Linked DNA regions of Ovis aries. The protein of the gene in region 2 interacts with the protein of the main gene of each other region in a biochemical or structural test. Links are inferred from orthologs where the notes say so. Each region holds a gene or a part of one and is shown on either strand. Other genes may lie near its edges. The genes, in order: PDCD6, KLHL12, FBXL17, LNPK and DRD4.

Evidence for each region.
Region 1: the proteins of KLHL12 (region 2) and PDCD6 form a complex in vitro, tested with the Homo sapiens proteins (2 studies listed by BioGRID). The link is inferred for Ovis aries from reciprocal best matches to the Homo sapiens genes KLHL12 and PDCD6.
Region 3: the proteins of KLHL12 (region 2) and FBXL17 form a complex in vitro, tested with the Homo sapiens proteins (3 studies listed by BioGRID, with this or other methods). The link is inferred for Ovis aries from reciprocal best matches to the Homo sapiens genes KLHL12 and FBXL17.
Region 4: the proteins of KLHL12 (region 2) and LNPK form a complex in vitro, tested with the Homo sapiens proteins (2 studies listed by BioGRID, with this or other methods). The link is inferred for Ovis aries from reciprocal best matches to the Homo sapiens genes KLHL12 and LNPK.
Region 5: of the proteins of KLHL12 (region 2) and DRD4, one has a biochemical effect on the other in vitro, tested with the Homo sapiens proteins (2 studies listed by BioGRID, with this or other methods). The link is inferred for Ovis aries from reciprocal best matches to the Homo sapiens genes KLHL12 and DRD4.

Annotation. Positions count from the first base shown.
Region 1 is NC_056069.1:71,839,058-71,843,675, forward strand, and holds the start of PDCD6 (programmed cell death protein 6), read right to left. Parts: upstream 2,848-4,618; 5' UTR 2,788-2,847; coding exon 2,693-2,787; intron 1,939-2,692; coding exon 1,877-1,938; intron 1,286-1,876; exon of another isoform or gene 1,227-1,285; intron 1-1,226. UniProt on the Homo sapiens protein: Calcium sensor that plays a key role in processes such as endoplasmic reticulum (ER)-Golgi vesicular transport, endosomal biogenesis or membrane repair.
Region 2 is NC_056065.1:79,290,661-79,294,586, reverse strand, and holds part of KLHL12 (kelch-like protein 12), read right to left. Parts: intron 3,807-3,926; exon of another isoform or gene 3,667-3,806; intron 1,214-3,666; coding exon 1,060-1,213; intron 82-1,059; coding exon 1-81. UniProt on the Homo sapiens protein: Substrate-specific adapter of a BCR (BTB-CUL3-RBX1) E3 ubiquitin ligase complex that acts as a negative regulator of Wnt signaling pathway and ER-Golgi transport.
Region 3 is NC_056058.1:104,988,136-104,992,569, forward strand, and holds the start of FBXL17 (F-box/LRR-repeat protein 17), read right to left. Parts: upstream 3,047-4,434; 5' UTR 2,729-3,046; coding exon 1,823-2,728; intron 1,709-1,822; exon of another isoform or gene 1,612-1,708; intron 1,457-1,611; exon of another isoform or gene 1,250-1,456; intron 1-1,249. UniProt on the Homo sapiens protein: Substrate-recognition component of the SCF(FBXL17) E3 ubiquitin ligase complex, a key component of a quality control pathway required to ensure functional dimerization of BTB domain-containing proteins (dimerization quality control, DQC).
Region 4 is NC_056055.1:134,219,237-134,223,110, forward strand, and holds the end of LNPK (endoplasmic reticulum junction formation protein lunapark), read left to right. Parts: intron 1-812; coding exon 813-1,048; 3' UTR 1,049-3,110; downstream 3,111-3,874. UniProt on the Homo sapiens protein: Endoplasmic reticulum (ER)-shaping membrane protein that plays a role in determining ER morphology. Involved in the stabilization of nascent three-way ER tubular junctions within the ER network.
Region 5 is NC_056074.1:47,050,313-47,054,744, reverse strand, and holds the start of DRD4 (D(4) dopamine receptor), read left to right. Parts: upstream 1-1,382; 5' UTR 1,383-1,417; coding exon 1,418-1,687; intron 1,688-3,122; coding exon 3,123-3,235; intron 3,236-3,338; coding exon 3,339-3,859; intron 3,860-3,947; coding exon 3,948-4,150; 3' UTR 4,151-4,432. UniProt on the Homo sapiens protein: Dopamine receptor responsible for neuronal signaling in the mesolimbic system of the brain, an area of the brain that regulates emotion and complex behavior.

The DNA.
Region 1 (4,618 bases), on a different chromosome or scaffold from region 2:
AATCTTAACAACTCTGGGAATTTGAAGAGCAGGAAGAGAACTGACTCGTGTCCATCCTCAGGGACTGAGGCCGGGACACACAGCACAACTGGAAACAGGAGACCGGCTCGAACTTCCTCCAGGACGCTGAGGCCCAGGAGCCAGACGCAGCTGCAGAGACGACCCCAGCAGAGCGAGAGGAGGAGACAGGCAGCACCCAAGAAAAGGGAGGGGCCATGAGTGCAGAGACAGGAGCCGCTCAGCCCCGGAGGAATGGTGGGCACCCTGGCAGGAGGAGCAGAGCCACAGCCAGCCTGTGCCTTCAGGTGGCCAACGGGAGGAGGCGGGTGGGACGGCACCAGGTGTGGGGGAGTGCCTAGCTATGCGGGCACACATCCTGATTCCAGTGTGCCACCTACCTCTGTTCTGGGGCTGAGAAAGGACTAGCGATCGGTACCCACTCATAACCAGACTTCCTGCAGAAAAAGCCTAATTGAATCTAGGAAGATATTCAGAGCACAGCAAAACAGAGCAACCTCTGGTTATGCAGGATGGGGGGACAAAAGCCTAAGAAAGCATGGGGTCCCCGACTATCAGTGAAATTCACCTCTGAAAATTCTCAGCTTGCGGCACTGGTGAGGCAGAAATTTAAAAATTTTAGCAGCTAATTTAAAGAGGAAAATGCGATTGGTTAAAAAAAAATCACAGTTTATAAGATACACACAAAACAGGTAAAACAACCATCACAAGCTGCTCCACACAAAAACCAGCACACCCCCAGGGAGGAGAGAGGCAGCCACGGCAGGGGGGGGAGGGAGTCCCTACCTCCCTCTGGGCTCAGTGACTACCAGTAAGCTCTCACCCAGCCCCAACAGAAGCCGAGGAACCCCTCAGGGCAAATCAAGAAATGTGACTCCACAGGGTCACCAGAGCAGGCCCTGATATACACTCAGTGGCTGGGTTAAACACACTCCGTCTCCAGCAGGCTCCTGGTTCAACGCTGTGTTCCGACAGAGCCATTTGCTTTAACAACCAGCTGAAATGGCGGCAGGTCTGACATCCTCTAGAGACAGTATCACCTGTGTGATCATTTTAATACCAACCCTTCACCAACAGCAGCAGAGGAGTACCCACAGTGGGGCACACCTCCCTTCCAGTCCACGCGCAGGCCTGGGAGGCACCGTCCACCTCCCACAGCACCAGCCAGCTCCCGCTGGTAAGGGTGAGCCTTTCAGCATCGTCATTACCTCTTAAAATCAATCCCTCTTCAGGTTTAAATGGCACCCCTCTGGAAGACACCACAAATCTAAGGACCAGAAAAAGACAGTGGTGTCTGACGAATCAAAAGAAGGGCAACACAGTCAGGTATTCACTGAAATAAGGTCTCCACGTCAATGGATTAATCACACTGAGACCAGCAAAAAGGTGACTCCAAGGTGTGCCCCCAGAACTGGCACAAAGAGCTGGGACCCTCTTGCCCCTGTCTGGATGACTTGCACTCACCCACTGAAAAGCCTGAGCCCCGAGACCCGGCTGCAGGGCCACCGGCATTCCCAGTTACTTCCTCGGCGTCAGTGGGACCCTGGTGCCCCGCCTCGCAAGTCACAAGACACCGTCACCAGAGAAATTCAACAGCCTTCAATAAACCGGAGGACCATCTGCTGTACAAAGCCAGGCTCCCTGTGCTCCTGGAGCTCACACCCCAGCCTCCAACTCTCAGGCTTTCCCTGGGACCTCCATGCAGCTGCCCCACCCAGCTCCGCAAGGACCCAGAGCAGCTCCGACAGGACGCCCAGGATGGAAGCCCTCCACCACAAGCCAGGGATTAGGAAAGAAGATGTTCACTATGGGTGGTCAGGCGGGCAGTTCACAAGTCCAGACGGCCAGGTGCACTCACCATTGGACAGTGCTTGCTGAAGCTCGTTGTCAGATATCACACCACTCCTGTCCTTATCAACCCTACAAAATTAAGATCAGTTAAACTGGTGATTCAAAGTGCAGGCAAAGCAACACAGGACCAGAACCAAGGTTTAACTCTCCTGTCAATCCTAAATTAATTTCCCTGCTCTTTTCCCTCTGGCTGCTAGACTATCTCACTCCCATAGTCGGGTGGGGAATAAGCAAGCCTGTCTCCTTCACTGTCTGAGGTCCCCCTGCTGAAGGCCAAGCTGCTTCTCCGTTTCTCTTAAGCCTTTCTCCCACACCCTGTCTGAATGCCATTCAGATCTTGTCCTTTTCACAAACAGGAAAAGGTTCTCTTAGACAACTAAGTCACTCCCTGACCTTGAATCACTCTAGCATGGGGCGCCGATTCGCTGGAAGGACGACCGGGTACCGAAGACACTGCGGTGACGGTCCCCTGCGCACAGCCAGGGCCTGGCTTCCCGCCTGGTGGCTGAGGCAGCCACGGCGAGCCCGCGTTTCTGCTCCCCTAACTGAATAAGCGTCCCCGGGAGACCCTCGTCCCCGAGCAAAGGCCCCTCTCTGGGGGTAGAAGGACGGAGGCCGAGCCTCCGGGCGGCCGCTCTGCGCTCCGGAAGTGCCCGGGGGCGGAGAGGAGGTCAAAGCTCGGGGGACGGAGCAGGCCGGGGGGCCAGGGCTCCAGGAGGGAGGCTGGACTGCGGGCGGAGGGGCAGGACGGGGAAGGCCCGGGGCTGACACCGAGGGAAGGGGAGGCCTGCCCGCGCCCGCCCGCCCGCCCGGCTGGCCGCACCTCTGGAAGACGTTCCACAGGAAGCTCTGGTCCGGCAGCGCGGCGCCCCCGGCAGGGCCGGCGCCGGGGCCCGGGCGGTACGGGTAGTTGGCCATGGGCCGAGGCGCAGCAGGGCGGAGGTGCGGCTGAGGGGCGGCCGGGAAGCGGGCGGCGTCAGGTGGCTCCACTTCCGCCTCGGCGAGGGCGAGGCCGGGCGCGCCACTTCCGGGGCGGTCACGGGAGCGAGCGCGGCCAATCCCGTCGCTGCCCCGTTGCCAGGCAACGCCCCCGCGTCCGGCCAGCGTGTCAGGGTCCAGCGAGAGGCTCGGAGCCGCTGGCCGAGGCCACGCGGCCTCCAGGATCACGGACGCGCGTGGGAGCTGCTTCTCCCGAGGCACAGAGTGGACGTGAAGGGCGGGGGCAGTTCCTTCGAGCATGGACTGTCCTTGCACCAAATGAAGGCCATGGAAGGGCGGTGATGGAGCGGAGGACGCGCCAGACTCCTGTGCTTTCCGGACTCCTCGCCCGGCCCCTGCCCCGCTTCTCTGCGTTCCTTCCCCACACCCGCTTTCTTCTCGGTACCACACGACGCCCCCTCCGGCGTCTGACAGGGCCTGGAGCTCCCCAGCTCGGTCTGCACGTGCGTGACCAGGCCCTGATGTCCCCTGCTGACCGTGGTGGGCGGCCAGCGTGTCCCTCCGGCCAGCTGAAGACGCCACCGCCTCCGTCCGGACTTCGACTGAGCCGCAGCGCCCTCTGCGCAGGGAAGCCCAGCTTCAGGGCTCTCCCACCGCCTTCCAGGCTCGCAAAAGTGTTGAGCTGCTGATGCAATCCCGCTGACTTGGTTCATCTTCCTCCCCTGCTTAGCTTGTGGAAGGGCCGAGCACCAGGGAAGCCCCTGATCCTTCCTTTCCTGAAGGGATTTCATTATTCAGCACTCCAAAGCTCTGCAGAAGACCCTGGTTCGATTCCTGGGTCCCGAAGACCTGCTGGAGAAGGGATAGGCTACCCACTCCAGTATTCTTGAGCTTCCCTTGTAGCTCAGCTAGTAAAGAATCCGCCTGCAATGAGAGAGGCCTGGGTTTGATCCCTGGGTTAGGAAGATCCCCCGGAGAAGGAAAAGGCTACCCACTCCAGTATTCTGGCCTGGAGAATTCCATGGACTGGATAGCCCACGGGGTCCCAAAGAGCTGGACACGGCTGAGCGACCTCCACTTTCATTTTCCAGGGCTCTGCATCTGACCTGTTGTTAGTCTCCAATTGTATTGTCCTCAGCCCCCTTTAACCACCAGACCATATGCTGGAGAGTTCTTTAAACTCTTCAAAGAGATTAAAGTATTCTGATTTGGGCACTCACACAGATTATTACTCTACAAACCTCAACAATGTGGCTTTTTTCATGACTTAATGAATTCAAGTGCTTTCTAGTTTTATCCTCCTAAAGCATTCACTGACTCGATGGACGTGAATCTGAGTGAACTCCGGGAATTGGTGATGGACAGGGAGGCCTGGCTTGCTGCGATTCATGGGGTCGCAGAGTCGGACATGACTGAGCGACTGAACTAAACTGAAAGCATTCACATCACTTGCTGACTAATCCTTTCTACAGTTTTCCACAGCTCTTTGATCTGTAGTTTCTGAAACTTGTTTATTCTGTCTCCCACCTCTGGCTCATTTTTCTCTAGAACACTACAAAATTAATAACTATGATTTTGCACCCAATTTGTAAGTTTTCCAGCACAGAGTGTACAGGGCAACTTCTGCAAGGAACTCCTCAGCGACTCTAGCTGGCTTTGGTCTCCCTCTCCTGACAGTGACACAGCCTCTACCAACCTTTGGCTGAGTCTCCAGCCTGGATTGCCACAGCCAACACCAACTGTGGGGCCCAGAATTACTCCATTCTACTTTCTGTTTAGTTCCAAGGGTTGGAAATGATTCATTCAAGGG
Region 2 (3,926 bases):
TCTCAGCGAAGTCCCGGATGCCCAGGCAGTTGGAAGGGTCCAGCTGGCTTTCCAAGAACTCGCAGCAGGCTTGCTTCACGCCTAGACAGACACAGACAGGGGTCCTGAGGACACTTGGCAGGACAGGCCTCAGTCCCTGGGTCACAACCTCTCCGAGTGGGATCAGAGGGACCCTGGCTCAATGCCTAAGAATCAGTTTAGAAATTTCATTCTTTGGGAATCCAAATCCTATTTCCATCTTACGTGCTATGCAGCCTTCAGCAAAGCCTTTACAAATGTGTGCTGCAGCCTTGAAACAAGTGCAGCAGGACGGACTGTGTTCATGGACACCGCCACAATCACAAAGACATGCCTGTAAAACTCCTGGGCGTCACGCTACAGAACCAAGTGTCACTGAGCACAATCCACCTAATCCCTGCTCCACACGAGGACTTACTGAAAGATGCCAAAGGAGGACAGACAGGAGGGGCTGGAGGCACTCTCCTATCTGTCCAACTGAAAAGCTCTGAGTGTAACGTTCGTTTAGAGCTGGCACTAACGCAAAGGCCTCGCACTCCTCCAGTCATGTTCTGAAAACTATCAGAAACAGATCTGGAGGTTAGCGCAGATCGGCACCTGGAAGGGGAACCGTCTCCAGTGCTGTGGAAACCTTACACTTTCACTCTTGTGGGTCAACCTACATGTTCAATAGATAGTTTCTATGGTTCAGAAGGTTAAAGGGCCCATGTGAGTGGCCCCCAGCCCCCTTACCCACCCAGGCACCTGCGGGAGCTCCCTTCCATGGAGGCAATGACTTGTGTCTCATGACCCCCACAGGACGGCTGTGCACACAGACGGAAGGAAAGGCCTCTACTGGCCCCTCCTGCATATTTTCACAAACAGAAAGCACGTGCCCTCTTTACTAAAGAGCCAGAGAGCACACCTGGAGGGTCTTCTACTCTGCGACTGAAGCCTCAGCTTCTCAGCCATGGACATTAACCCTGAGGCCCATCGTGCCCCTCACTCCCGCGACCTGGCCCGTCCGTGGGCCACTGTGGGTGCACGCCTCCGCAGCTGTACCTTTCAGCTGGAGCAGGCAGGCCGCGGGCAGCAGCTCCTGGACGTTCTCCACAGTCACGTGCACGGTCTCCGTGTACACAAAGTCCAGCAGGATTTCCATGGTGGAGGCAGTTAAACCCTGAATATCTACATACGGCTTCCCCTTCTCTGAGAGCTGAAAGTGAAAAGGGCGTGAGATCACGGTGGTTGCAATTCCACAAGGTTAAGGCAGAGGCTCGTATCCGGGTCCTTGAAGGGATGTTAACAATATTAACTGCATACACGTCTTTAACAAAAAAAGGTCGTCTCTTTTGATCTATGCAAAGCAAATACAGCATATATTTGCAGCTTTTCAAATGGGGGGAGCTATGTGCAACCCAAGAGCACACAGAGGTGACACCTTCTGAGAATATCAATTTTACTTGTGAATAATTTAATATGCTGCTCTCTTATTAAAACAAATGCAGACACGGAATAGAACCAAAAGTTCCATGAGCATGCCACTAGCGTCCATGGGCTTTTCAGAGGAAACATGAACTTCGCTGAGTTCCGGCTGCAGACCCTCCAAAATGAGCCAGCACTGTCCCACCTGTCCTGAGGCTGCACTGGCCACCTTCAGGGTGTACCACTGTACCACTGTACCACTGTACCACTGAAGACAACTGGATTGTCTGATACTTCCTCAAATACTGGGTTGATTCTCTTTCGGGATTACTGAATTATTGGTGGTACATTTAGTCTAGACTATATCCTTGGGGTTATGAGTATAATTGAGGCCAGACACGCATAGAAAACGGTTTGTCTAAGGGTGGAAATCTTCAGCTTCACAGGACAGTAACCATCTGAAAATGGGTCACCTTATGAATGTTTTACTAGATCTTAGGTTAGAAATTACGATTACTTACAAAACTCCAGTGTGTGTCTGTTAGAAACTAAACATCTTGATCAACTTTGATTCCTTCATCAGTCCAGAATCATCAAAAAGTATTCTCTAACAAAGCCAAGAATAAAATAAATCCCAGAAACCAGAAAATGTCATCAGTACATTATTTTGGAAAACCATTTTACTAACTGTAAAGTCTTTACGAACCGAAATATATAAGTACATTCATGTCAGGAGTTTCTTAGTCAGTAACCTATATTCCCATTAGCCTAATAGTTTAAATACATAAATGAGTTTATTATCTAAGAACTTACAGCAACTGCAGTATTTCACATTAATACTCGCTTTACAATTTTTCAGAGTGCCTCTCATTTACTATCAGTTCACCTGATGGCCACAGCAGCCTGGTAAGGCAGTTAGGTCTGAAGCCACTGCCATTTAACACACGAAGGGTCTGAGCTTCAGAGAAACAACGTGACTTAGCCTAGGTCTTCACTATTAATAGAAAGAGACAGACTGAAGCCAGGCCTCCTGCCCCAGCCGGTGCTACTTCAGTGGCGCCGCATTTATGGGGAAACCTAGAGCTGGGAGAGAAGGGAGACACCAGCAAGCTTAATCGTTCTGTGCTGCAGACAACCTAGTGAGGTGAGATGGTCGCTAGGGTTCACACAGAATTTCTAAGAGAACTGAACCTAAAATCCAGGTCTCTGGACCCTCCTGGTTAAATCATTTAGTGTTAAAAACAAATTCAAGGGTATAGAGACCAGTCTGGAGATTCTTAAAAGACTACAAATAGGAGTCCCACATGATTCAGAAATACTGCTCCTGAGCATATTTCCAAAAAAGATGAAACCTTTAATTTGAAAACATTCATGCACTCCAGTGTTCAGAGCAGCACTACTTAGAACAGCCAAGACACGGAAGCAACGGAAGCAACCTCCACGTCCATCAGCGGATGAATAAAGATGTGGTGTATACGTGGGGGACACACACAGACACACACAAGTGGAATATTACTCAGTCATAAAAAAGTAATAAAGAACAATGCCACTCGCAGCAGCCCAGGAGGACCTGCAAATGGTCAGGCTTCCACATTCTCCCCGCCAGCCCTGTGGCTGAGCACTGGCTCGGCATCTCACACGGCTCTGGCTTTACGATGGAAACATCACAATTAGAGTCAAGTTAAGTTCCTGGAGAAGGGAATGGCAAACCAAGTTAAGTTAATTTAGGATTAAATCCTCTCTACCATTTACAAGCTGTATGGCATTTCGTATCTGAGACCTTATTTCTTCACTTGTAAAATGAGATGGTAACAACCATCCCTGGGGTGAGTGGGACAGGCAATCGTCTAACACAGCATCTGGCCCACAGGCCGGTGACCTTCGTTATAACATGATTACCATGACGAAGGATGTCAGGTTTATGTACAAGCACAGATAAACAACATACTCGAGACAATTTATTTAAAATAAAAAAATCAGACTTGCAATCCTGGAAGCTGGGAGCGCTCTCCTCTGCTCAGCTTTCCGAGCCCCTCATGACTCAGCAGCTCCTCCACACGCTGCGTGTCTTGCCAGGCAATCACTACGGCAGTCTTTTCCCTAACACTTCGCGAGCACCATGTTTTTTTTGCCAGGCCAGCCTGTCCCCAATTCCCTGGTTAAGGGCTTGTGCTCCCAAGTTGGCATCTTTCTGGCGATGTTTCGTGTGCCCACACAGCCAGGCACCAGTCCTCCGCCACCCACCTGAGACTGCACTAACAGCCCCCTGGGAGGAGGAGGAAGGCTGCTTCTCCTCACACACTGCAGGAGGGAGTGGGGTGAGGACGGACTCTCGCTCCTCTTTCCTTCCCGCCTCCCTCTTCCCTGGTCTTCACAATGTTACACTTTAGAAGAAACAAAACAGGAAAACAAATTAAAACACTGGTAAGTAAAATCCGATAGCTGACATCTGTGTTTGCTACATGCTGGACACTGTTCTAAGCACGTCACATGTAAGTTCCTCA
Region 3 (4,434 bases), on a different chromosome or scaffold from region 2:
GTAATGGAAATCTACATAACATGCGTAAATACTGCAACACAACAGGGGAAGTCCAATGAATAATTTCCCCAAATGTTCCTTAGAACAAGTTTTCGACAGTCCTTAGCAAAAATGTGGAAAAGAACAATGTTGCAAATAAACTGATTGTATTGGAACTCTCTTTATTATGAAATCATGTCCTTCCTCCTTTCTTTTATTTTTGTTTTTGTATTAAAATGTCCTCTACCTCATGAAATAATGACAGTTTAGGTAGAAAGTGGGAAGTATCTGCTTTTTACTTTGTTTTTAAACAGTCTTACTTACCAAATAACAAGACAGCAATCAAACCTCTATGCCAAATATCTGTGGATATTTCATTTGTCCATGTTGTCCACTAAGTTAAAAGATTCAAGAACATTCCCTCTGCCCTAAAATGCACAGCCTGAACATACAGAGGCAGTAATTACTCCTTCAAAAATACACTACTGAAAGGTAAACAACTTCAGTTCAGTTGCTCAGTCGTGTCTGACTCTGTGACCCCATGAACCACAGCACGCCAGGCCTCCCTGTCCATCACCAACTACCGGAGTTCACTCAGACTCAAGTCCATTGAGTCGGTGATGCCATCCAACCATCTCATCCTCTTGGACATGTGGAAAAGTTAAGCTTTCCCAGTTCTTTGCTATATTATTTACAAAAATATTAATATCACAGTAAAACAAATCCAAGCACACAGGATTATAAACATGCAAAAAGTCCAATCAAAGTATATTGTTCAGAATAAAAATTATAATTGATGACAGCTACTTCAATAACAATAAAACTAGCCAAATTCTTATCTAGGTTTTTCTAGTTAGTCTTAAATATCATCCACAGTGATAAAGGGGGTTTATATTTATAAGCTCCAGAAAGCTGCAGTGTGGGGGTGAGAGAGGAGAGAAAATGAACGGAAAAGAAACTTTTTAATACTAACTTACTACAAAGTATCACGTACTTAAATTCATCACTGCTGCTGCTGCTTGACAAAACTGCAAATTTTACTTGGTAGCTGAAAGTGGGACCAGGTTTCCACGGGATATCTACCTCTTCCCCACACACGTATCCCCCCAACAAAAAATACACTTGTCCTTACCGTCTGGTAATCTGTCTGCATTACCTAAGATAATAGAACATAGCATAAATAAAAGGGTTTTCAAGTCAGACAGGCCTAAACTCCGCAGATCTGTCTGTGTGTGACCTTGGGCAAGTCATTCAGCCCCTTGAAGCACCGCTGGCCTGTAAGCTCCACAGGAACACACACCACGTCGGCCTGACTTTCGACTGTAGGCACTTGCGCTGATACATCGGTTTCTTCTTGTGTAAAGATGTTAACAATATTTCTTTCATGGCGTCAACTGAAGGATTCGGTGAGATATTATGTATATAAAGCTCTGGCACTGTGCCTGATCATCGTGGTCAAGTGCTCGATAGATAAAAGGTAACTGTTTTTTGACATCAGCTAGCAGTTATCAAATCTGAAATTACTGTCTGAACACTTTCCAACACTAATATACAAGTCTTTACTCGGTTAAGTGCAAACCGCTCAAGGGATTAAAAAAAAAAAAATTTTTTTTTTCTTTTTTTTTTTCACAGAAAACCTACAGTTTCTACAACAGTGGGCTTGGGACTCTCCTAGGTGAACCGGGATTACGCGCAGCAGACCCAAGCGATTAAAAGGACCTTCAGCGGACTCCAAGCCCCTGCACCTGAAATAACCGGGTGTCAGGGAGGCCCCCCCGCGGGGCGTGCAGCAGAGAGAACCCCCGAGCGGGCCCGGCGGGGGGTGGGGGGCACGCAGACCCACCTTAAGCAGGATGGAGGGCGGCAGCTGGTTGATGTCCGGGGCGTCGGGGGGCGGCTCCCTGTGGCAGTCGCACGGCGGATCGGGGCCCTCCGGACAGTCGGCGTCGCCGCACTCGTGCTGCTGCTGCCGGGCGACCGAGGGGGCGGCGCCCCCCGCTCGGACCGCGTCCCCGCCGGCCTCCGCGGGGGCCCCTCCCGGAGCGGCGGGGGAGCGCGGGGCGCGGAGCGGCGGCGGGGGGTGCTGCTCGGGGCCGCCGCCCGCAGGCCCGCCGCCGCCGCCGCCTCCGCCGCAGGCGCCCCCGCCGCAGCGGGGCTGCTTACAGGGGGTGCAGGCGGGGACCCCGGCCCCCTTCCGCTTGCACACCATCTCGGGGGGCGCAGGGGGCTCGGCCGGCGGCGCCCGGAAGAGCCGCGAGGCGGCGGGCGGCGCGGGCGGACGCACGGGCCCCGCGCGGGCCCACAGGAGGCTCCGGGCCGGCCGCTCCCGGGCGGCGGCGGCGGCCGGCCCCAGCTCCCCGCGGCCGGGGGCGGGCGGCGCGGCGACGGCGGCGGCGGCCGAGAGCAGAAGGCGGCGCGCGGCGTCCTCAGCGGCCAGGCCCGCGCGGCGCCGCGCCGGGGGCTGTGAGGAGGCGGCCGCGCCGTAGGCCCCGAGCGGCCGCGGCGACGACAGCGGCGGCTCCTCCTCCGGGCCGGCGGGGGCGGGCGCGCCGGGGCCGTGCACGACGAGGCAGAGCATGCAGGGCCCGCGGAAGAGGCAGTCCCGGCCCCGGGGCGCCGCCGCCGCCTTGGCCGGGGCCCCGCGGGGCCACCTGAGGAGAGGCCGGCGGCGGCGGCGCCACCAGCTGCCGCAGCGGGGCCGCTTCTGGCGCGGGCGGCGGCGCGGCTCCTTCGAGAGCAGGAGGCCCATAGGGGAGGCCCCGCGCAGGGGCCGGGTCAGGGCAGGCCGCGCGGGGGTCGGCCTCGGGCCCGCGGGCACACGCGGGCACACACACACACGGGCACACACGCGGCGCTGGGGGGCTACATGCTCTGCCCCGGGACGCCGGGAGACCACGGCGGGGCGCGAGCTCTTGGGACCCGACGGAGGCCGGCGAGCCTGCTGACCGCGCGGCTGCTCGCAGCCTGGGCCGCCGCCTCAGTTGGTCAGGGCGGCGGCGGGGGAAGCGCGGGGCGCGCCTCAGACCACTTTAACGGCGGCTCTGCCGGCGGCGGCGCGCGCGCCCGCGGCACAGCTCGGCGCGCCGGGAGCGCGCGGCCCGAGCGGGAAGGGGGCGGGGCCGCGGCGGAGGCGCGCGCGGGGAGGCGGAGCGGGAGCGCGCGGCCCGAGCGGGAAGGGGCGGGGCCGCGGCGGAGGCGCGTGCGGGGAGGCGAAGCGGGAGCGCGCGGCCGGATCGGGGAGGGAGCGGGGCCTCAGCGGCGGGGGGGCGGCTCGGGAGCGCGCGGCCCGCTCGGGAAGGGGGTGTGGCCGATCGGGAAGGGGGCGGGGCCTCGGCGGCGCGCGTGGCCGCTCGCCCCCTGAGGGCCGCTCGGCCGGGCCCGCCGTCACGGGTGCGGGCTCACCGCCCCCTGTCCCCGTCGCCCGCGGTCTCCCGGAGCCCACGCCCCCTTCGTGGGACCGGGGGGAGCCGCCTCCGAGCTCGTCGGGTGACGTCCGTGGGCACAGTCGCGCTGACGTCGCTAGGCGCACGTTCGGGAACCGCCATTGGCCGGGAACCGGCGCTCTCACCGCCCGACCGGACGCCGAGGCCGCTGAGGAGACCCGGTCCCGCCCGAGGCCAGCCCGGGTGCCCGGCGTGCTCTCCGCGAGAATGGTTCTCCCGCGAGGGACTCACGGGTGGACCGGCTCTGCCGTGTTTCTGCGCTTGTCTGCGGACACCTGTTGCTAGGGACGGACCGGCTTTCCCTAAGTGCATTTCAGGATAAACGCACTTATCAGGTAATTTCAATTCAGTCGCTCAGTCGTGTCCGACTCTTTGCGACCGCATAAACCGCAGCACACCAGGCCTCCCTGTCCATCACCAGCTCCCCGAGTTCACCTAAACCCATGTCCATTGAGTCGGTGATGCCATCCAACCATCTCATCCTCTGTCGTCCCCTTCTCCTCCCACCTTCAGTCTTTCCCAGCATCAGGTTATTTTCCAGTGAGTCACTTCTTCACTCAGGTGGCCAAAGTATTAGACTTTCAGCTTCAACACCAGTCCTTCCGATGAATATTCAGGACTGATTTCCTTTAGGATTGACTCGTTAGATCTCCTTGCAATCCAAGGGACTCTCAAGAGTCTTCAACACCACAGTTCAAAAGCATCAATTCTTCGGTGCTCAGCTTTCTTTATGGTCCAACTCGCACATTCATACATGACTACTGGAAAAACCATAGCTTTGTCTAGACGGACCTTTGTTGGCAAAGTGATGGCTCTGTTTTTTAATATGCTGTCTAGGTTGGTCATAGCTTTTCTTCAAAGGAGCAAATGTCTTTTAATTTCATGGCTACAGTCACCATCTGCAGTGATTTTGGAGCCCCCCAAAATAAAGTCTGTCACTGTTCCTGCTGTTTCCCCATCTGTTTGCCATAAAGTGATGGGACCAGATGCCATGATCTTAGTTTTCTTTCTT
Region 4 (3,874 bases), on a different chromosome or scaffold from region 2:
TTGTCTTGCACAGGGATGACGGAAGACTTGTCTTGACTTTGGAAAAGGTGGATCCAGACCCCCACAGTCATGGATAATAGAGATGTAAATCAGTGTGGGAAATCACACCACCTATACACACATATGCACCCTACAAAGGTACACATTTATACATCGGTCACAGTGTTGCCTGGATGCAAGAGAGACTAGTTCCTTCAGGAAACATAATCTGGGAGTTAGTGCATTTGCTGTTTTTGCTGGGCTGTTGTCTTATAATATATAATTCTATTGGAATTTTTATATATTCAGACATTCAGCTTTCAAATCCATCTTTAGGAAAGTTCTTAAGTATTATGAAAGTTCATTTATTTTGTGAACAATGGGACTTCAGGTAAAATTATGTTTATGGGTATGTTTCCCCCAAATTGATTTTTCCTTCATTCATATCATTTCATATATAGTATGCTATAGGGATAGGCTTCCAAAGTGGCTCAGTGTAAAGAATCTGCCTGCCAATGCAGGAGACATTGGTTTGATCCCCATGTTGGGAATATGCCCTGGAGAAGGGCTTGGCAACCCACTCCAGTATTCTTGCTTGGAAGATCCCGTGAACAGAAGAGCCTGGTGATCTACAGTGCATGGGATCACAAAAGAGTCAACATGACTTAGCGACTGAGTATGCGTGTATGAAGTACTTAAGTACATTAAAAAGATATATTTTAAGGATAATGTTAGACTATTCTTCTGTTTCTTAGTTTCTTTGCACGTGCTTATCTTATTTAGTAGTTATTAACATTGGCTATTCCTAAAGTTTTTACTCTTTATCTTTTCAGAATCTTTAGAAGAACAAGATGTTCTAGATAATAGTACAGAACAGACAGATGACAAAATACCAGATACAGAGCAGACAAACCCAGTGATTGAACAAGCATCTGGCATAGAGGAACCAGAGGAGAAACAAGAAGAGACCGAGAATGAAGAAACCTCAGTGAGTGAAGACAAGTCCACAGTTCCCAGAGCTGATGCTGTTCCTAATCCTGAACTAAGTGGAGAATCTTTGACAATGTAGTAAATGCTTCCATGTGCCTTCAACTGGATATTTGTAGTCTTGCTGATGTCAGTTATTGCTTTTTAAGGTAGTGCTTTCTTTATTTTCGCCCCCTCAAAGACATGCTTGGTATCGTTTGAATTTCAGATTGCCTAGCTATTTCAATTTGTCAAAGTTATGTCTACTGGGTTTTAAAATTAAAAGCAAATGGTGTCAGTAAAGTAAAATCCTTTTGAATGTACAGAAACCCACACTGTTTAGACAATGTTTAGGTATTTTTTTCTGTTCTAAAAGTAAACAAATGTAACAAGTTTTGTTTTCTACTTGTGGCCTGTAAATACATTTGGCATAGGAAGAACCTTGGTTAGGAATAAGTTCTAATAGCGTTTGTTTTAAGGAATGAAACTCAATTAAGATTTTTAATACTTCATTATTAAAATGGATAGAATTTTAACTCTTGTGATATTTGCCGGGGGTAAAATATCTATTTAGGCATTTACATCAAGAGGTATGAAAGTTATTACAGTAACAATATAGGCATTTGTGTGAATTCTTACAGTTGAACAGTCAAGTGCAGTGTTACTTTTGATGTCTCTTATTTTGCAGCTGGGCCAGAGGTACCTGATGTATATAATTAGCTTATGTTTACATATTAACATATAGGAAATATCTCTGCACTTGACTGTACTTGAATTTTGAACATTATTTATATTTGTAAAATAATGCTGACATTATAAATGAATTTTGTGCTCTTATGTGTATTTTGTTAAGGAAAATAAAGATGATCTGGCAGCAGTTTCTTTTTGTTAAATATCTAGACTACTTCAGACAATATCTTGGTAGATGACTTAGGTACCTGAAAAGTCTTAGTAGGAAGAGCTCACAATTCAGTAAATCTATAAATTATGCTGAGAAAGAATTATGATCCTTTATTCAAATTTGTTACCTTTTAAGTTCAGAGAATTAGTGACATTTAGAGTTTCTAATCAGAGGTTAGATTTTTCTGATTCAGGAAAACCTTAGGCCATTTGTAGTTTTTAATTTTGAGAGACATAGTTTTGTGAGAATAGGCAGTTAATTACTAGTAGTTCATTGGATTTAATATGTGTATTAAAGACTAACTGGCAATTTTTTGGACCCAGAATAATAATTCTTGTTGTTATCTTTTCTATCTTCTTTTTATCTATTACTAAGAAAAAACTATCAAGTTATGCCAAAGGAAGGAATATACAGGAATGGTGTATATGGCAAGTATTTCTAAGTTATATATGGTTTGTTAAAAATTAAATAAAATACCATTTGTTATTTAAAAATTCACCTTTATGATTTAATATCTTATATCTGATAGGTTTTTTAAAGGAACACAAATGTGTTAATAGTCTGAGAGTTTTCAAGATTACAGGATTGGGCTTGAATTCTAGCTCTGCAGTCTTGGGCAAGTCACCTGACCTCACTGAGGTCATGTTTTTTCATCTTTAAAATTGGAAGAATGCCTACTTTTTGGAGTATGAGGAAAATAAAAAGTAATTTATGTAGTGGGCCTAGCTGACTGTCTGATAGTAGATATTTATAGTCTTGATATCTTTGTGAAATGTGGAAGGGCTCTGAATTCTCCTTCTTGCAGATAAGGAAATGAAAAAAAAATATGAAATATAATTTGGCCGATCAGAATCAAGCCAAAGTTTTCTGATAGGTTTTCTTTATCATATACATGTATATAAATGCATAGATTAAGGCAATAGGAACCTGAAACTGTGGAATATAATAATACTATAGAATATAGTCTTTTTTTCTTTTTTGCTGAAGCCCATCAGTTTTTTTGGTGTGTGTGTTATTGGCCCATAATATTTGAGTAACACTTTGCTCAGTCTTCTTGTTATAAAACATTCAAATTCTGAAAAATGAGTAATCTCAGAGAAATATAATTTAGTGATAGAATTAAGTAGATATCAGAAGTATCTATGGAAGAAGGTTAAAGTAGGTAAACTAATATAATGGGTAACATGCTGTAATCATGTAGTACCTATTAAAATAAAAAAGTTTCTTCTGATATTATAATAAACAATTAATGGTTGAAGAATGGTATAATGTCCTATTTCTGATTATTAAGACTAGTATAAATGAGGAAAAGCAAACTAATCAGTGCTGTGAGCTAGAGTAACCTTCACTTCCCTACTTACTAATGCTCAGCAGGTCATCATCTAAACTTCTCACTATGCCCTTAGCATAATCTACAAACATGTCTGGCTTTTCTCTCCATCTCTCTTCTACCATTATGCTGTAGTCTTAGGGTGTCTTTTCAATCCTCTAACTAAGCTAAACCCTTTCCCACCTTAGGTCTCAGTTTAAATGTTCTTTCCTCAAGAGAGATGCCCTCCCAAGGTCCATATCTAAGGTTGGTCTCTGCCTTTTACTTGATCCTGTCACTTTTTCTGTTATTATAATCTGTGAGTATTTTATCTGTTTATTAGTTTACTGTATTTCTTCAAGACTTAAGAGTCTTTGTGTGCAAGGTTCTATCTTATTTACCTTTGTATCTCCAGAGCCTGGTACAGTGTTTGACACATTTATTATTTATTATGTGAATGAATAACTTTGTTGCTAAATTCAGCAAAAACTCAGTTCTTACCTTATTCCATTGACACTCTTGGGTGCTCCCTTTAGTTTGAAACACTTTTTCTCATTTGGCTTTTGCCTTCTCACACTATTGTTCTCTTATTCCTCTGCCCCTTTTCTCTCAGTGTCCTTTGCAGGTTTCTTTTCCTCTGCCCATCATTTACATGTTGATGTTTCACCTTTCTACCTTGTCAGCATTTCTTCACTCTGTGTATTCTCTCTTTAAAGGCT
Region 5 (4,432 bases), on a different chromosome or scaffold from region 2:
GACTCTTAACCCCTGGACCACCAAGGGAAGTACGTGGGCTGCCTTTTCACCCTTAATGGTGGCAGATGTCTGAGGTCCAGGAGGGAGAATCAACGCTGATCAGAGGCTGGGCTGGCCTCACTGCTTGGCACCCAACCCAAGGTCACGGAGCCAGCCCTGCCTTGGATTTTCATCTTGTGAGAAAAGTCGCTAGGATTGTGAGTTCTCTTGCTGAAGCCTTCAGGAGGGGCAGGAGCCTGCCTGTCCCTTTCCTGATCCACATGAGCAGGACGGAGGTGCTGGATGCAGCGTGGTGCCCATTCACATCGAGTCTTGCACATGCACTTCCTTTATCAGGCCTCCTGTGGCTGTGCCCCTTGTGAGTACCATCACGGTGTGTCTCTCCAGGGTCTTTGTCTTCTCTTTAACACACACAGGGAGCCCGTGTGTAGGGCGTGCAGGTTGAGAGGGATCTCCTTTGGGGCTTCTTTTCTCTGTGAGGACGTGACTCAGGTAAGATGCGTCTAATGAGTGCGAAGAACTCTGGCGGCTGCTAAGCTCCCAGTGGCCTTCTCCTGGCCTTGGCTGCCGTTACAGCCTCTAGGCTTTGTGGGGTGAGCTCATTTTACCAGGCTCAGACGGGCACACAGCTTGCTCAGGGTGATGGAGCCAGGATCAGGGTTGCCCACCCAACTGCTGGGGTAGGATGAAGGGTCAGGCAGTGGCTGTGGGGTGGAGAGTGGCTGAGTGTGGTCCAGGCTGGGGGAGAGGCTGCTCTGGGGAGTCGGGTGCAGGAACCCAGGTTGGGGTCTGCAGTCGTTGCAGGGGGAGATGAAGGGGCCAGAGAGGCCGGGTCAGGTGGGGGTGTGGAGAGAGGAGTGTGCCCGGAGGGAAGGAGGGGGAGCCTGGACTGGGGCGTGCTGGTGTCTGGTGGAAGCAGCCTGGGAAGGATGGCCCCCATGCGGCTCCATCTTTGCCTCAGGGGTCTGCAGAAGCATCTCTGGAGGGGGGCGCCCAGCCTGGGCCCATGCAGGGTTGCGGCGGTCTCCGAGGCTGGACCTGGTGGCGCTGGCGTGGGTGCCCGCAAGTCTCGAGGGATGGTTGGGCCGCCCTTTCATCCCGTGGGTTTTTCTGGGCGCTGACCCTCGCGTCGTCCCGCAACCCTGCGTGGCAGAGAGCGATGCTGGACCCGCCCAGGCCAATCACATCTCTTCACTGGGCCGGCGCTGGGCCGTGGCGTTTGTCCATCTGCCCGGCCCTAGGGGCGAAGTCCAAGATGGGCCAAAACTGGGTGCAGCTTGGAGCGCCCTGGGGTCCGCGGAACCGGGCGGCCGGGGCGGGACTAAGGCCGGGCTGGGCGGGCCTAGGGGCGGGGCCCCAGCGCGGCCGGGACTGTCCGTGGTGCTGAGCGCCCGGCGGGGCGCGCCGGCCGGGCGCCATGGGGAACCGCAGCGCCGCAGACGCGGACGGGCTGCTGGCGGAGCGCGCGCCCGGCACGGGCGTCGGCGCCGGGGGCCCCGGGGCGGCGGCGGCGCTGGTGGGGGGCGTGCTGCTCATCGGCGCGGTGCTCGCGGGGAACTCGCTCGTGTGCATGAGCGTGGCGGCCGAGCGGTCCCTGCAGACGCCCACTAACTACTTCATCGTGAGTCTGGCGGCCGCCGACCTGCTCCTCGCCCTGCTGGTGCTGCCCCTCTTCGTCTACTCCGAGGTGAGCCCGCGTCGCCCCCGCACGCACACCCTCACCCGCTCCGGATCCCCTGTCCCGTCCACACGGAGGACCGAGCCCGACCCCGCCGCTTGGCTTCTCAGGATCCTGGAGCTGGGCGCTGCGCAGGTCCCAGGACGACCGGAGCCGGGTCCCCTATGAACCTCGCTCCCCTCCCCCATCCCGCTGTCCGTCAGCCCTCCCGCTCTGTCCCTCTCTCCGCGTCGCCTTCTATGTCAGTTACCCAAGAGATGCTTCTGTTCTTCAAGCACAGACCCCAGTAAGAGATGGCTTTGGGAGTCCAGACAGCCCCCTCCCAGCCCCCTCCGCTGGGTTCCAGTCCCCCCAGGGGAGCCAGCTGGCTAGACTGGCAGAGGCAGGCTTACACCACACCGGCTCCCCTGGGGCAGAGACACAGAGGTCACCCCACGAGGCCACAGCCACACAGGACCACGCGTCACTCGTGTGCACGACCCGGGCAGGGCACCCTCACTCCTGCGCTGACGTGGCTCACAGCAGGAGGGACCCTTCTTGGAGGTGCAGGGCACGCCCACTCGGGCTGGGGAAGGGCCTTTGCCAGAACCTGGGTCCGGGAACCGCCACACCCAGGTCAGGTCCTGGCCCTCGGGTGGGTCCCCCTTGGTGTCAGCCATGTCCACTCTGCAGTTTGGGCAGAGAAAAGCTGCTTAGGCTGGGTTGGGGACGCGGTGTCCCGGGCTGTGGGGGGAGGGGAGGCATGGTTTTCTAAGGTGGAGGGTGAGTCCAGGCAGGGCTGGGCAGAGAGGCCAGCAGGACAAGGACGGGCATGACCTACTGCCCCCCCACCCGAGCTGTAGACAGACGTCACAGTGACGGCTCTTAAGCTCCTAATCGTCCCAAATCAGCAGGAGGAGATTTAGAAGGGGCGGCTGTCTGCTCCTTTGCCCTTGGTGGGGGCGCTGGGCACAGGGGCCGAGACTACTACTTCCTAACAATGATGTGGACGCTACCGTTGCCCTCACTTCAGGCGTGCAGGGCCGAGAGTGGGATGACCTGTCCAGAGTCCCAGAGGCAGAGTTTCAGCAGACAGGCCAACTGCGCGGTCTGCTGGAGAAGGGGGTGGGTGCTGGGCTCCCGCTCTAGGGCAGCAAGGCCCCCACCGGCAGGGAGGGGCCCCGCGCACCCTGAGCATCAGGGATCACAGCCCGCCGTTGCCTACGCCGCCCGAAACCCGCTCCAATCCGAAGGCGTTTCCCGGTTCTAACAGGAAGGTGGGAGGTCTCTCTCAGGCGCCCGGCCTGAGGGGAGGGGAGGACCGCCCTGCTTTCCGGGGAGCGACTCCTCCGTTATTCAGCCCCCTCGCTGCCCGCAGCAGCGGGGGTCAGGAAGACATCTCGGGGGCGGGGCGGGAGGTCAGCTTCCCGCGACTACCGTTGCCGCGGCTCCTCCCCGTGCTCAGGTGCAGGGCGGCGTGTGGCTGCTGAGCCCCGGCCTCTGCGACGCGCTCATGGCCATGGACGTCATGCTGTGCACGGCCTCCATATTCAACCTGTGCGCCATCAGCGTGGACAGGTAAGCCGCCCCGCCGCCCTCCCCGCGCTCCCCGCGGGTTCGTGGCCGTGGGCGCGCCCCGTCGGGCCGCCCCGCCCCGCCGCCCTCACCGCGCTCCCCGCAGGTTCGTGGCCGTGGCCGTGCCCCTGCGCTACAACCGCCAGAGCCGCGGCGGCCGGCAGCTGCTGCTCATCGGCGCCACGTGGCTGCTGTCGGCGGCGGTGGCGGCGCCCGTGCTGTGCGGCCTCAACGACGCGCGCGGCCGCGACCCCTCCGTGTGCCGCCTGGAGGACCGCGACTACGTGGTGTACTCGTCCGTGTGCTCCTTCTTCCTGCCCTGCCCGCTCATGCTGCTGCTCTACTGGGCCACGTTCCGCGGCCTGCGGCGCTGGGAGGCGGCGCGCCGCGCCAAGCTGCACGGCCGTGCGCCCCGCCGGCCCAGCGGCCCCGGGCCGCCCGCGCCGGACGCCAGCCCGGCCGCCGCCGCCGCCCCCGGCCCGACCCCCGACGCCGCCCCCGCCCCGGACGCCGTCGCGCCCCCCGACGCCGTTGCGGCCGAACCCTCGCCTCAGGCCCGCAGGAGGAGACGTGCCAAGATCACAGGCCGGGAGCGCAAAGCTATGAGGGTCCTGCCCGTGGTGGTCGGTGGGTACCGGCCCCGGGGGGCGCGGCGGAGGGGGCACGGTGCCCAGGGTGGGGGGCGTGGCCGTGACCCCGCCCGCCCCGCCCCCAGGGGCCTTCCTGCTCTGCTGGACGCCCTTCTTCGTGGTGCACATCACGCGGGCGCTGTGTCCCGCGTGCGCCGTGTCGCCGCGGCTGGTCAGCGCGGTCACCTGGCTGGGATACGTCAACAGCGCCCTGAACCCCGTCATCTACACCGTCTTCAACGCCGAGTTCCGCACCGTCTTTCGCAAGGCTCTGCGCCTCTGCTGCTGACAGAGCGCCGCGCGGCCTCGCCCGGCCGGACCGCCTCGCCTGGGGCTTTGTAGGAGTAATTAAACAGATCCCGGTCACCTGCTGGGAAGGCTTTGGTGGAGGCGAGGAGGAGGCATCCCCACTGGCCCCATCTGGCCAGTTAACCCTTTCCCTCCTTCGAGGAAGGTCCTGGCTGAGCCCTGGGCTGAGCAGCGGGGCATCAGGAAGGTGCATGCTGGGGACGGGCGCCTGCGACCTGGGAGGGCTGCCTGGGCTCACACCCTCCCGCACACACTCCACCCG